3 linked regions of the Astyanax mexicanus genome follow. The main gene of each other region encodes a partner of the protein of the gene in region 3 in a complex. Links are inferred from orthologs where the notes say so. Each region holds a gene or a part of one and is shown on either strand. Other genes may lie near its edges.

What was found.
Region 1: the proteins of timm10 (region 3) and timm29 are in contact, whole or in part, in a cryo-EM structure (PDB 7CGP), measured with the Homo sapiens proteins. The link is inferred for Astyanax mexicanus from reciprocal best matches to the Homo sapiens genes TIMM10 and TIMM29. Residues at the interface, in NP_036588.1 of Homo sapiens: His30, Arg31, Lys32, Cys33, Pro35, Pro36, Leu43, Ser44, Lys45, Gly46, Glu47, Ser48, Val49, Arg53; in NP_612367.1 of Homo sapiens: Asp181, Asp183, Ile184, Asp186, Phe189, Leu192, Leu196, Arg197, Val199, Gln203, Leu204, Ser206, Asn209, Glu210, Leu212, Phe213, Asp214.
Region 2: the proteins of timm10 (region 3) and timm9 are in contact, whole or in part, in a crystal structure (PDB 2BSK), measured with the Homo sapiens proteins. The link is inferred for Astyanax mexicanus from reciprocal best matches to the Homo sapiens genes TIMM10 and TIMM9. Residues at the interface, in NP_036588.1 of Homo sapiens: Glu16, Met17, Asp20, Met21, Arg24, Ala28, Cys29, Lys32, Cys50, Arg53, Cys54, Ser56, Lys57, Tyr58, Asp60, Ile61, His62, Arg64, Met65, Gly66, Lys68, Leu69, Leu72; in NP_001291414.1 of Homo sapiens: Lys15, Leu18, Gly19, Tyr21, Asn22, Lys23, Thr25, Glu26, Cys28, Phe29, Leu30, Val33, Asp35, Phe36, Thr37, Thr38, Arg39, Glu40, Val41, Glu45, Thr46, Glu50, Leu53, Leu57.

Annotation. Positions count from the first base shown.
Region 1 is NC_064426.1:9,774,276-9,778,029, reverse strand, and holds the start of timm29 (mitochondrial import inner membrane translocase subunit Tim29), read right to left. Parts: upstream 2,584-3,754; 5' UTR 2,492-2,583; coding exon 2,395-2,491; intron 1,165-2,394; coding exon 518-1,164; 3' UTR 1-517. UniProt on the Homo sapiens protein: Component of the TIM22 complex, a complex that mediates the import and insertion of multi-pass transmembrane proteins into the mitochondrial inner membrane.
Region 2 is NC_064421.1:18,426,283-18,430,036, forward strand, and holds timm9 (mitochondrial import inner membrane translocase subunit Tim9), read right to left. Parts: upstream 2,394-3,754; 5' UTR 2,300-2,393; intron 2,211-2,299; exon of another isoform or gene 2,156-2,210; intron 1,861-2,155; 5' UTR 1,844-1,860; coding exon 1,805-1,843; intron 1,708-1,804; coding exon 1,612-1,707; intron 600-1,611; coding exon 465-599; 3' UTR 161-464; downstream 1-160. UniProt on the Homo sapiens protein: Mitochondrial intermembrane chaperone that participates in the import and insertion of multi-pass transmembrane proteins into the mitochondrial inner membrane.
Region 3 is NC_064414.1:44,296,282-44,300,035, reverse strand, and holds the start of timm10 (mitochondrial import inner membrane translocase subunit Tim10), read right to left. Parts: upstream 2,934-3,754; 5' UTR 2,781-2,933; coding exon 2,710-2,780; intron 1-2,709.

The sequences.
Region 1 (3,754 bases), on a different chromosome or scaffold from region 3:
AAAAAAAATCATAAACCTTCCTATAAGAAATGACGTTGTGGCCTGCTCTGTGGCCTGCCAGTGTTAAATCAGGGTTAAAGTTCTTTACCAAATCATTTTACTTTATATTTTACATTCATATATTTTCAAAAAATGGTTAATCTCACTGGAGATGCACAAATTAGTAGCAAGGAACAGGCCCACGTCTCTACCAACACACCACCTCACCAAGGTTTTGTCAAAAAAAAAAAAAATATTTTGCTGAGCCTTGAATAACAATTTTGTAGCACCTTTAGTTTTAAGATTAAAGTATTAACATACAGTATAGCAATACATGACATTTTTTGTCCCAGAATTCCAACAACACTATATAAACTGAAGTCCATGTCCAGAGAAATGCGCTTTCCCTTCCGGGCTGCTGCTCACAGATTTATCTGATCATATGTGACATGCCTCCAGTCCATATGTCCATGCCAGCACACGTCCTTTAGTGAAGCACATCAACGCTTAGGTGCATCTGTTCTTACACAGTTTTCTCTCATCCTTTCGCCACGATCTCCCCCTCTTTCTGTACACTCACTGCACCATCTGCCGTTTCCTCCTCTACCTCCATCACCAGCGCCTTCAACGAATCTCTGTGCAGTCTCTCATTCCTCTCAGTCTCCTGCACTGAAGGGGGAGCTGTGGCCACCAAAGCCGGAGAGAGATGCTTAAACTCTTCCTCGTTAATGTCATAGTCCTTCATCTTCTGGTGCAGTACCCACCAGCGTCCAGCGAAGCCCACGTCCAGCATGCGCCCGGGCAGCTCTGCCCAGGGCACAGACAGAGCCGAGCACTGAGCCTCGTACAGGCTGCTCTCAGGGTCGTAGCTCACCACGTAGGTCACCGAGGCCACGCCCAGACTAAGGTAGCGCAGTCGACCTTCATTACGCAGCCTCACCAGGTTCTGCACGTGACCATCTGACATCCCGCTTCGTATCCATGGTGACAGAAGGGCCAGTTTATTGGAGGTTTCTAGCAGATCAGTCTGGAAGGACGTGTCATCTGGATTTGTTCGATAACAGAAATACGCCCCCCCCAGCAGGACCGCGTAAGCTGAGGCTTTAAAGGGACGCTCCCGTGCTCCAACAACCACCTCCCGGCAGGCCTCCTTGTAGTCACCCAAAAGACTACGGCACCACACACCTGCAAAAAGGACATTTTAACTGGTTTTACTGGAATAGGATTTTATAATAGCAAAACATATGAAAACCAAAAATATTGATTTTTAATGGTTAATTAACATGTCTACTTTTAATACTCCTACCAAAGTAGAGTGTAGAGTAGAGGGCAAAACCTTTACTAAACTCTACTAGATATCTGCAGTTTCTGCAGCAGTGCACAATATGAACATAAATGCAACATACGATGACACCGTATCCCAAAATGAATGTGGAACACAATAAATTAAGAACATAAATTAGCTCTTTAAATGTTTTTAAAAATGTTACTTTTATTTTATTTTGTAGTAGTTTGGTGTGTGCTCTACCACTAGTGGAGCTCTACTCTGCCTCTAGTCTAGTTAGGTCATGTAAGCACAGTCTGCAGTGTGAATAGCTCCCTCTGTGGATGTGGAGGGTTTGAGAATTCAGTGTGAACTTAATTATTAAATGTGTTATTTTCTTTCTGTCAGCCATAGCTGAAAATCATACATCTCATTTTTACATTCCATTACATTACTGTTGTATTTTTCTACTAACACAATGTCTTCTATTGTTTGGACTTTTTTCGACCCAGTGGAATTAAACTAAACAGGAATGATAGTAAAGTGAATTAAACCCGATATAGAATACCATATTCTGCAATTGTTCTTCAGTAAGAGCAGGATGTGACACTAAGTGGATCTTTTTGCCTGATTTTATTAGATGGCATTTTTGATACATCTTACTGATCCTCTCTCCTGGTTTTGAATGTGCTATAAGCTGTAAGGTGCCACTTCTTTTAAAATTTACAAGTAAAATAATTTGTTAATATCTATTAATCTATCCATATATCTTCGATATTAAATTTACAATGTAAAAAAAAGAATGAAAGAAGTGTGTCTTTCATGTGTCTAATAACCTAAAAGACCTTGGTAATGGAGATGCAAGAGCGTTTGTGTTAAGAGGAGAACATATATTTCAGTTTTGACCTACAGTTAGTGTTAAACATGTGTTTATTCTCACCATTTGGGCATAATTAATATAAAATTAAATTAAGGATCAGAGTTTCTACTGAATTATATTATGTTATTATTATATATATTAATTAACTGATTCTACTGTCGGGCAGTAGACTGCTTCTCCTCTCCAGTTCTGCAGTAGATCAGCAGCTGCTGATCGGGTTAATAATAAAGAGTATATTTAATCTGTATGTCTCGGTAGGTAAAGCGCTCACCCACGCGGCCGCTCTTCAGCCTCTCCCACCGGCTGCCCTTGCCCTGAGCCTCCGCTGCGGTGGAGCAGAGCCTCCTGAAAACACACGAGGCAGCCATGACAGTCCGAACACACGCTGATCAGCGGCTCAGTGCTCTCAACTCAACCGGAACCGATACCGCCGGCTCTGTTTCCACACGGCCCCCCCACACAACACGCCCACTGGCGAAACCACTGAGCCGAAATGGCGCAGGCTCGGTCAAAGAACCTGTAGACCACTTTAAAACCTCTTTATGTCAGACCACCAGAGGGCGCTCCCGAGTCCTAAATGAATAGGTTCAGATTGTAAATGTTTGCTAAATTTTTAAACCGAAAAATGTGATTAGTTCCTCAACATATCAAATGTTAATGCCAAATACAAACTTTTAAAGTCCACTTGGAAACATTTAAAACATGTGCTGGCTGTTACTTCAGCACTTCTGTAGCAGTGATGCTACCAAATCTGTTGTTCAAATTACGAAATTACGAAATTTAAGCAATATCCTGGACACGTAGTTAATGATCGTTTTTACCGAGTTTTTAACCATTCAACCCCCCTCCCTTTATTTATGGCTCACTCGCAGGCTCCCTCTAGCGGTTATCCCTTATTTTCTGATAACGGAGGAGAGCGGAAGTAGATAGGCTTGCTCTAAACCAGCTCTGGCGTGGTTTGGAGTTGGTGGTCCGATAGGGGGACCATATCAACGGTTTTTACGTTCCACTCTGATTTTTCTCTGTCAGTTTTTTTCTTCCTTTTTTAAAAATTAGGTTTTAATTTTGCGATCAGGGGATATGGATTTTAAAGTATAGGTGTAAAGGATTGTATCTCCTTTTTGCTAGCATTACTGTTACTGTGTGCTAACTGATTGGTGTGCTAACACTGGATTTACAAAGCACATTTAGTCAAAGCACATTTAAAAGGCTTATAAATTAAGTTTAAAAGCTTGAAACATTTTATATAGTTATGTGTTAATATATATGCGTATATGTATACGATTTACTCGCGAGCGTCCTCTGGTGGACTGTCAAATCCAGAAGAGATTAATAAGTGGGTATTCTCCTCTGTATAAGCTCTCTGCTACAAAAACAGTTAACTTACAGATTTCTGATTCTGAACACAGAACAAAACATTTTAAAAACTTAAAACCCGTCGTAATCTGCCACAGATACACAATGTGCCGTTTCCGTGGTTTTCATGCTTTATTAATAATTCGACTTAAGATTATTTTAGTAAAAAAAAAAAGTACAATAATTAGATTTATTATATTTTAGTCAATATAAAAAAAAATATTATAAAAAATATTTAACTATTAAATCTGCTAAATAACTAGTTAAAATGCTTA
Region 2 (3,754 bases), on a different chromosome or scaffold from region 3:
TCAAGCAGAACAGATAAACCATTGCACAGCCTGTGCAGCTCTTGTCTTTTGCTGTTTGTGAATTTTTTAACCATACGCTAACACAGCAAGTAAGCTCAAACTGCACTGCACCTAGCATTTATCTTAGTCACTTTTTTTTAGACATGAATAGCACAGAATATAAAGAAGTTATCTTGCTGCTTTTTTATTCTTGTTAGATGCAAAGATTTACATTTAAAAACAAACAAACAAAAAAACACTATCTTCACATTTTGCCCAAGCCATGACCAAGTCTATCGAGCCTCTTCCTCCGGGAGAATCTTGGGAAACAAAGGTCCTACCAGTGCTGAGGAGCTGAACCAAACAGAGAACCTTGACAGTGTGCGTAGCCATGTTGTTCCAATATGGAGATTCAGCCTCCTAATAGGCATGGTGAGAATTACAGCCTGAGGATATCAGAGTCCGTAAGAAAACACAGCAATAGACTACCGTGGCTGGCCTAGTAAACCAGCTTTGGCTGCCAGAGCCTCGTTCTGTTGGATGTGATACTCCTGGAAGCGCATGGAGATCCGCTGGGTCATTTTTAGATACTTCTGTAGACAGCTCTCAGAGCACGAGGTCTGAAAAGAACAAGATACAAGAGTGATTTCCAATTTTTTATTCAAACATACTTAAGATTTATTCAGACAGGCATCTCCAAACTGATTTAGTTTAGATCATTAAAGATTTTAACCTAAAACCTGTTTCATAAACCAGATCCAGCAATGTGCTGACTGGGTCAGATGAAAATCTCCCTCTTGCTGCCAAAACAGCTTTGACCGGTCAAACTGACCAGTCGGGCTTGGACTAAAGATCTGGCAGCATTAACTTTAAGTAATATAGGGTTCAGCAGTTCTTCTGTGGGATTAAACCAGACAGTTTAAGTTTGCTCACCACACACATCAGTGAGCCTCTGGGACTCATGACCTTGTTACCAGGGTTCCTTAGTAGCACTTTTGATAGGCACAGTAACATTTTTTGAGATGCTGACACCCAGTCATTTAGCCAGTTTTTTTTCACATTTTAGTGCTTTTCCTGTTTTTTACTGTTGATTTTTTTGTATTTTTATATTCTCTTCTGTTTTTTTTGTGTATAGATTTCATATATTGTTTGACACTTCTCCTCTGCTGTAACGTAGCAATTTCCCTGCTGTGGAATTAAAGGATTTTCATATCTTTGAGTATGAATACTGGTACACAGTGTAATGTAACATACTGTTATTATAGTGGGTATTCTGACTATAATTAATGTGGATCACGAAACAGCACTTATGGTTTGAATGGATTCTGCCAGTATACTGCACAACAAAAACTGATCACCTATATAAAAGGATTAACACATTTATTTACAGAACTTTATGCAGAGTATTTAACAACTGCATATTGTAATAAGGTCTAAAGTGGTATGGAAAGTTTCGGTTTGGATATGGATTTTTATATTGTCACCAACCCTGCTCCTGAAGATCTGCTTTTCTGACAGCATAATCCCTCAATAATTTATTTCAGAAGTTTAAATGGGCCTGAAGTGAAAACCCTCCCGTTTCTTAAAGCAAACACTTAACATGTGTAGTATTAATCTTGCCTAGTGTCTTACCTCTTCTGCCTTCACTTCTCTAGTAGTGAAATCTTTAACACAATCCATGAAGCAGTTCTCTGTCAGCTTGTTGTAGGTGCCCAGAAATTCCTTGAACTGAAAATCAAACCCAAGCAGAACATAAAGGAGAATTCAGTGATGTTTAAGTGGATAAAGAGACGCTTATGTCTGTAAAAGGTAGGGTGTACAGTACCTGTTTGATCTGGTCTGATTCTGTAACTTGGGCAGCCATAGTTTAAAGAGTGGACTCTGGAGAATAAACAGAATTAACAGAAAATGATTTAACCGAAATTCCACAATGACATCTAACAACACAAGCACTCTTCATTTAAACTATATTTATTAATATGAATTCATAGCACAAGTTACACTTTATAAGCAGCATTTTTATCTCGCCAATAAAAACAAGAAGTATTTTAAACGGCCTAATAAAAATAAACTAATAATACTACATAGTATAAAGTCTATAACAATTAATTCCCCATACTGGCCCTGCTGCTTATTCTAGCCACCATGCAGTGAGCGTTAGCCTTCTGCTCTATACCTTATTTCTTTAGCTGGTTAGCAGCAGCAGCAGCAGCAGCGGAAGCCCACAGACACTATACAAATAAATTACGCTGCTCTGTATCATAATGTTTGTAATTTAATAGTGTAAACGGTACAGAGCGAAAACCCGTCGCTACATTACCTCAGTCTGCACCTGGAAGCTCGAGCCTGCGGACCCTCTCTGAAGGACATGTGACGCTGTGGACAAGAGAAAGAACAACCGGCGCTTCACTGCGGCACTTTCGCTGCAACAAGGCAAATTCATTCATTTCTTCACGATGATTGATAAATATTAAAATGTAAAATTGCTTTTAAATATTTTGATATATTTAAAATAATTGAAAGAAACATGTAACAAAAATGATTAGTGTATAAACTGTCTCACTGAGTTCTGAAATAATAATATATTCTCTAAGTCATATATTTACACGAAAATGGCTTTTGAAATCACACTATAGATCATCTATAGGTCGCTGTACGTTAGTGACGTACAAAAGGAGGCGAATTATAACGTTTTATTTTTTGCACTAAAATGTAAAAGAACTGTAAGAATTTGTGATGAACTCTCACTTGCCTCTGGTTAATATATAATTTTATTTATTTTGATTTTCTTTCTTTTTTCCTTTTCTTCAGTTTGTATATTTTTAATGCTGTCTTCTATCGTTGTTTCTTGTATTAACCTGAAACTTTAAAGAATACAATATTCAATATTGTTTACTTAGGGATATAATCACATATAAATACACACACACATATAATAATAATAATAATAATAATAATAATAATAATAATAATAATAATAATAATAATAATAATAATAATAATAATAATAATAAACACGAATATAAAAAAATAAAATTAAATAAAATCAAAATAAAGGGACAAGCAAGGGGTAAATTTAAGGGCATTTTTACCACCCATAACTTTTAAAGATTTATAGTATAAGGCTAAATCATTTCTAAATGCTAAGTTTTAAAAAAATGCGCTCATGTATGTAATATTGTTAACTACAAATGATCTGTATGTCTGGGCTTTCTTAAAATAGGAATCATTCTTTTTAAATTAACAATTTATAAAGATTATAACATAATATAATAATAACATACACACTTTTCGGTTTGAAGAACTATTTCTGAACGTTACACTTAACATTCTTGGGAGGTTCAGTCCGTGATTTGTTTTTGGATGTTCTGGATGTGGATATGTCAGTGTTTTAATTTGTAGTTTTAGAATATTACTTTTAGTGTTATGGAAACGTCGTCTATCTGGAAACGTTTTAATACCGTTGTGATGCAAACCATTATTGTGTCACACCTTTTTTAAGAACGTTCCTAGAACATTGTTTCTGTAACGTTACAAAGTTACCGTTCTAATAACGTTAGCTGTCAGCTGGGGGTGCAGCTTGCAGGGCGAGGTTACTTTTATTTTGAAATTGAACTCAGTGGCGCGCGCTGCGGTTTCTGAATTCATATCTGTTGTCAACTTTGTTGTCAGCAACAGTTGTTGTGGATGCAGAGCAGTAAGGCATTATTAGTTCAGTTTCAGGTGTAGTTAGTACAGTGTTCACAGGCCAGGCCGCTTACGCTAGCTGTAAGAA
Region 3 (3,754 bases):
ACATTAGGAAGGTGTATTATTTAGTGCAACAGATCCTAAATATAGAGAAAATATTTAAGAATCTCAAATGTAAAAAATGATTTCCACTGTGTATTCATAAACACACAGGAAAATAAATACCAGAATTTTCCACTGACATACACAATATGCTCATATAAGCATGATTACTAATATCAGAACTCCAAACAAATGCCTTCAAAAGTAAATTTTCATGACCATCCACTCTTTAAAACATCAGTACAGACATGGAAAAATTTAAATAAATAAAAAATCCATGTCAAAACTGATTATAGTAGGCCTATATTTTTCCTTAAAAAAAACAAACTTTGAAACATGACATTTTACTAGCTGAATAACATTTCTGCATATTTAGTATGTCAATGCCTTATGATTTACTGATTAGCTCACAATTGACTTTTTAAAATTTTTCTAGGTATTTTAATTTTTCCAAAACTTATCCAGGCCTGGAAATTTCTATGTTCAAATTCCATGACTTTTCCAAGTTTGTTATGACCGTACGAACCCTGTATACAGGGTTTAATTAAAAAAGAAAAGAAAAAGAAAAGTAGAATTAGTTCTGTTAAAGCCCACACAAACTGAAAATTTGGATTTGCAATTAGTGTATTTAAGTTTTAATCTGGCAGTACTGTTAGTTATTTTTGCAGTATGTGAAAAACATTTACGAATTCTAACAATAGTTTTGCCATTTTGCCCATCTGACTTTAAAATATACTCTTCTAAGGGTCATCTATCTCGTTTATGTAAATAAGCAACAAGGACCAAATATTAAAATCCTTACATTCATTCCTGAAGCCATGTGATCCATAACAGCCCGAGGGATTCAATTTTTTTTTGTACCACAGAAAGATCAATACATGCCGCTATCACCGTTTAAACAGTGGTGTCACGGCAACTATTTGTGATCAGATACCAGCCATGAGAATACATGATGCATTCAAAGGGAAAGGACATCTACAATAATCTACAATCTACAAGACTGTCAAATAGGAATGTTCCTCAGCTAATATCCTACTGAACAGACTTAACTCTGAATTTAAGTTCTGTTTAAATCTGACAGAGAAAGGCTTTGAACAGTTCCCAATCTGCCGATATATACTCTGCTGGTATCAGCAAACCATTTCCATTCAGACCTTCTGTAGCAGGCCCAGAGCTTCTTGAACACATAGCGAAATTAACTCTGGATTCTGGATCTGTCCTCCTGTTTGTTTTGTAAACATCCACCTTTAAAATGTTAGGACTACCCTTGTGAAAATGAAGTATACTTAAGAGTATTAAAAGTATGTTTAAATTAGGTAAAGAATACTAAAAGTGCATTTTCAATTTAATATACTTTATGAAAATACACATTAAATAAACATTCTCTGTATTTCCATAATTAATATATAGTGGCATTAAATACTGCTCAAAGTGCATTTTAGTGTGTTTTTCCCCCCAGTACTATTAAGGTGTACACAATATGGGCATCAATAAGCAAAGTAGTACATTTATAATATACTTCAAGTGTATTAAAAACAAATACCTAAATCTACTTAGGTTTGCAGAAGTTGTACGAAAAAAACACTCAAATACAAAATGTAATGCTTTTATGTTGTGTTTAAATATAGCTTACCTTTAATTACAACTGAAATATACTCAAGTTACTACAAGTACTATTGCCAAAGTAGCACATTTAATATGCATTTAAGTACATACTTTAATTTTAGTATGTTTTTTCCAAGTTAAGTATACTTTTAAAATATATATACTTAATTCACTTGCAGTTCTGTGATGTATTTAGATGGTGATTTAAACTCTTAATGCCAAAGCGTATACTCAAAACGTGTAGAGTGGGTATGTAGAAAACTCGTGGCTGTCCTGCTCAAATTTACCATCATTGTACCTAATTGACTAACAATTTAAATCTGGAGTGTCTGAGCAAGGAAACCACTGAGTTATGCTGGATGTCACCCTTTAGTACCTGTAAGTAAGTGGGGGGCTAATTACCCTTGAGGTAAAGAATGCTTTTCTTTTAGGGGTGACCTGACTCGTGAAGAATCATTGTTGCATCATTGAGGAGGACACACTGAAGGAGAAGGAGGTCACGGACCTTGACACTATTGGAAACGTTTGGGCTGCTCATTTACTGTATTTTACCATGGGAAAATCAATTACAAGATATATTTATAAAACTCTACAATCATTCTGCTATTAGCTGCAGAGTGGCTGCAGTTCCTTAGTGATAAAAGAGGAGGAGCAGCAAGGAATCTTCAGAAGGTATTGGGTTAGAATTATTATTAGAATCCCCCATTCAAACTAACAAGATTACACTAAGCTACCATGCCAAATGGCTGGTGGTCTATAATAGAAATGTTTATCATCAGTGTTTACCAGAAGAACAAGTTATGTAGAAACTAAAATATTCTACAGTCTAAATACTAGTCAGCTTGCTTTAACAGCTAGCAATGCATTTAAACAGTAAAACAAAAGTATATCAATGTGCTGCACCGTTTAAAAATGTGAATATTAAAAAAAAATGTTATGTATGCAAAGGAAACAAAGTTAGAAAAATCAAGATTATGGTTAATAAAGAGAGGAATACAGAGAAGAGCCGAACCCCCGGACTCAATCAAATGATTCAGTGGCTAAACCCCATGCTAGGCAGGGTAACAAAGCAAGCTAAGCTAGTAAAGTACAGGCTGTTCATATTACCGGTTATACATGTCTGCCATCATCTCCACCTCCAGCTCCGCCGCCAGCTGCTGTGCCTTCATGGGGTCCATCTCTGTAGCTGGGGTCTCCGGCTTCTCCTCCACCGTGGACTCTCCGCTTCTCACAGAACCGACAGCGCGTTTAACCTTCAGAGCCGGAGAGCTGCACACGTGGGGCCGCCCAGCTCTCACACTGCTTCCTGGGTCAACATGGCTCCCTCTGATTCACTGCAGTTACCACTCTGAACCGACTGATGTCAGTGTTGTGCAATAAGGTTTTTTTATTTATTATTTTTTAAATATGCCCTTTAAACCCCTTAACAGGCCTTGCCTCGTAAGTTGATAAAAAAAAAACATTTTTTTGTAGAAAAATAACTTATTTACATTCTGAAAAATTGCACAGGACACTTGGAGAATCTGCCTGTTTTCACTCTAATGTTCCTTATGAAACATGAAAGCTTTTTATGTAATGTTTAAATAGAAACACTCAGGATTTAGTGGCGTAATGTAAGGAAGACAATTGATAAAAAAAAATCCTGGCCTGTTAAGAGGTTAAACAACTGTGCAAACATGCATGTGCTCTTTCTGACTCTGGCTGCTGATAGCAAAAATACTCTGGGATTCAAATGGGCAATTCCGTAACATTTTTTAATCTTTCCCAAACATTATATAGCCTTTTTGAAAGAAACAAACAACCAAAAAAATATAAATAAAATTAAATTAATAAACTATAAAAATAAAAAGAGAAATCACAGTATTTTGTGGCCCAGTAAAATACACATCCCTGTTGAAAAATCCAGCTCAATCAGGTTCTGATAAATTTGAGATTTATCAGCTGGTCTTTAAGATGCTCAATTTGCAAATCTGCAGTCATCCTGCTTGCCATCAGCAGCCGGAGTCAAAGAGAGCACAACTGGCTATGCTCTCCCCCCTTTATCACTACCATGATGATGTCGGTCAGCAGCACAGGTGTCTGTTAGCTGATGTATCTATCAGAGCTGGGTTGCTGTATGTCCACAGAGCGATGGGAGCATTACTAGGGACAG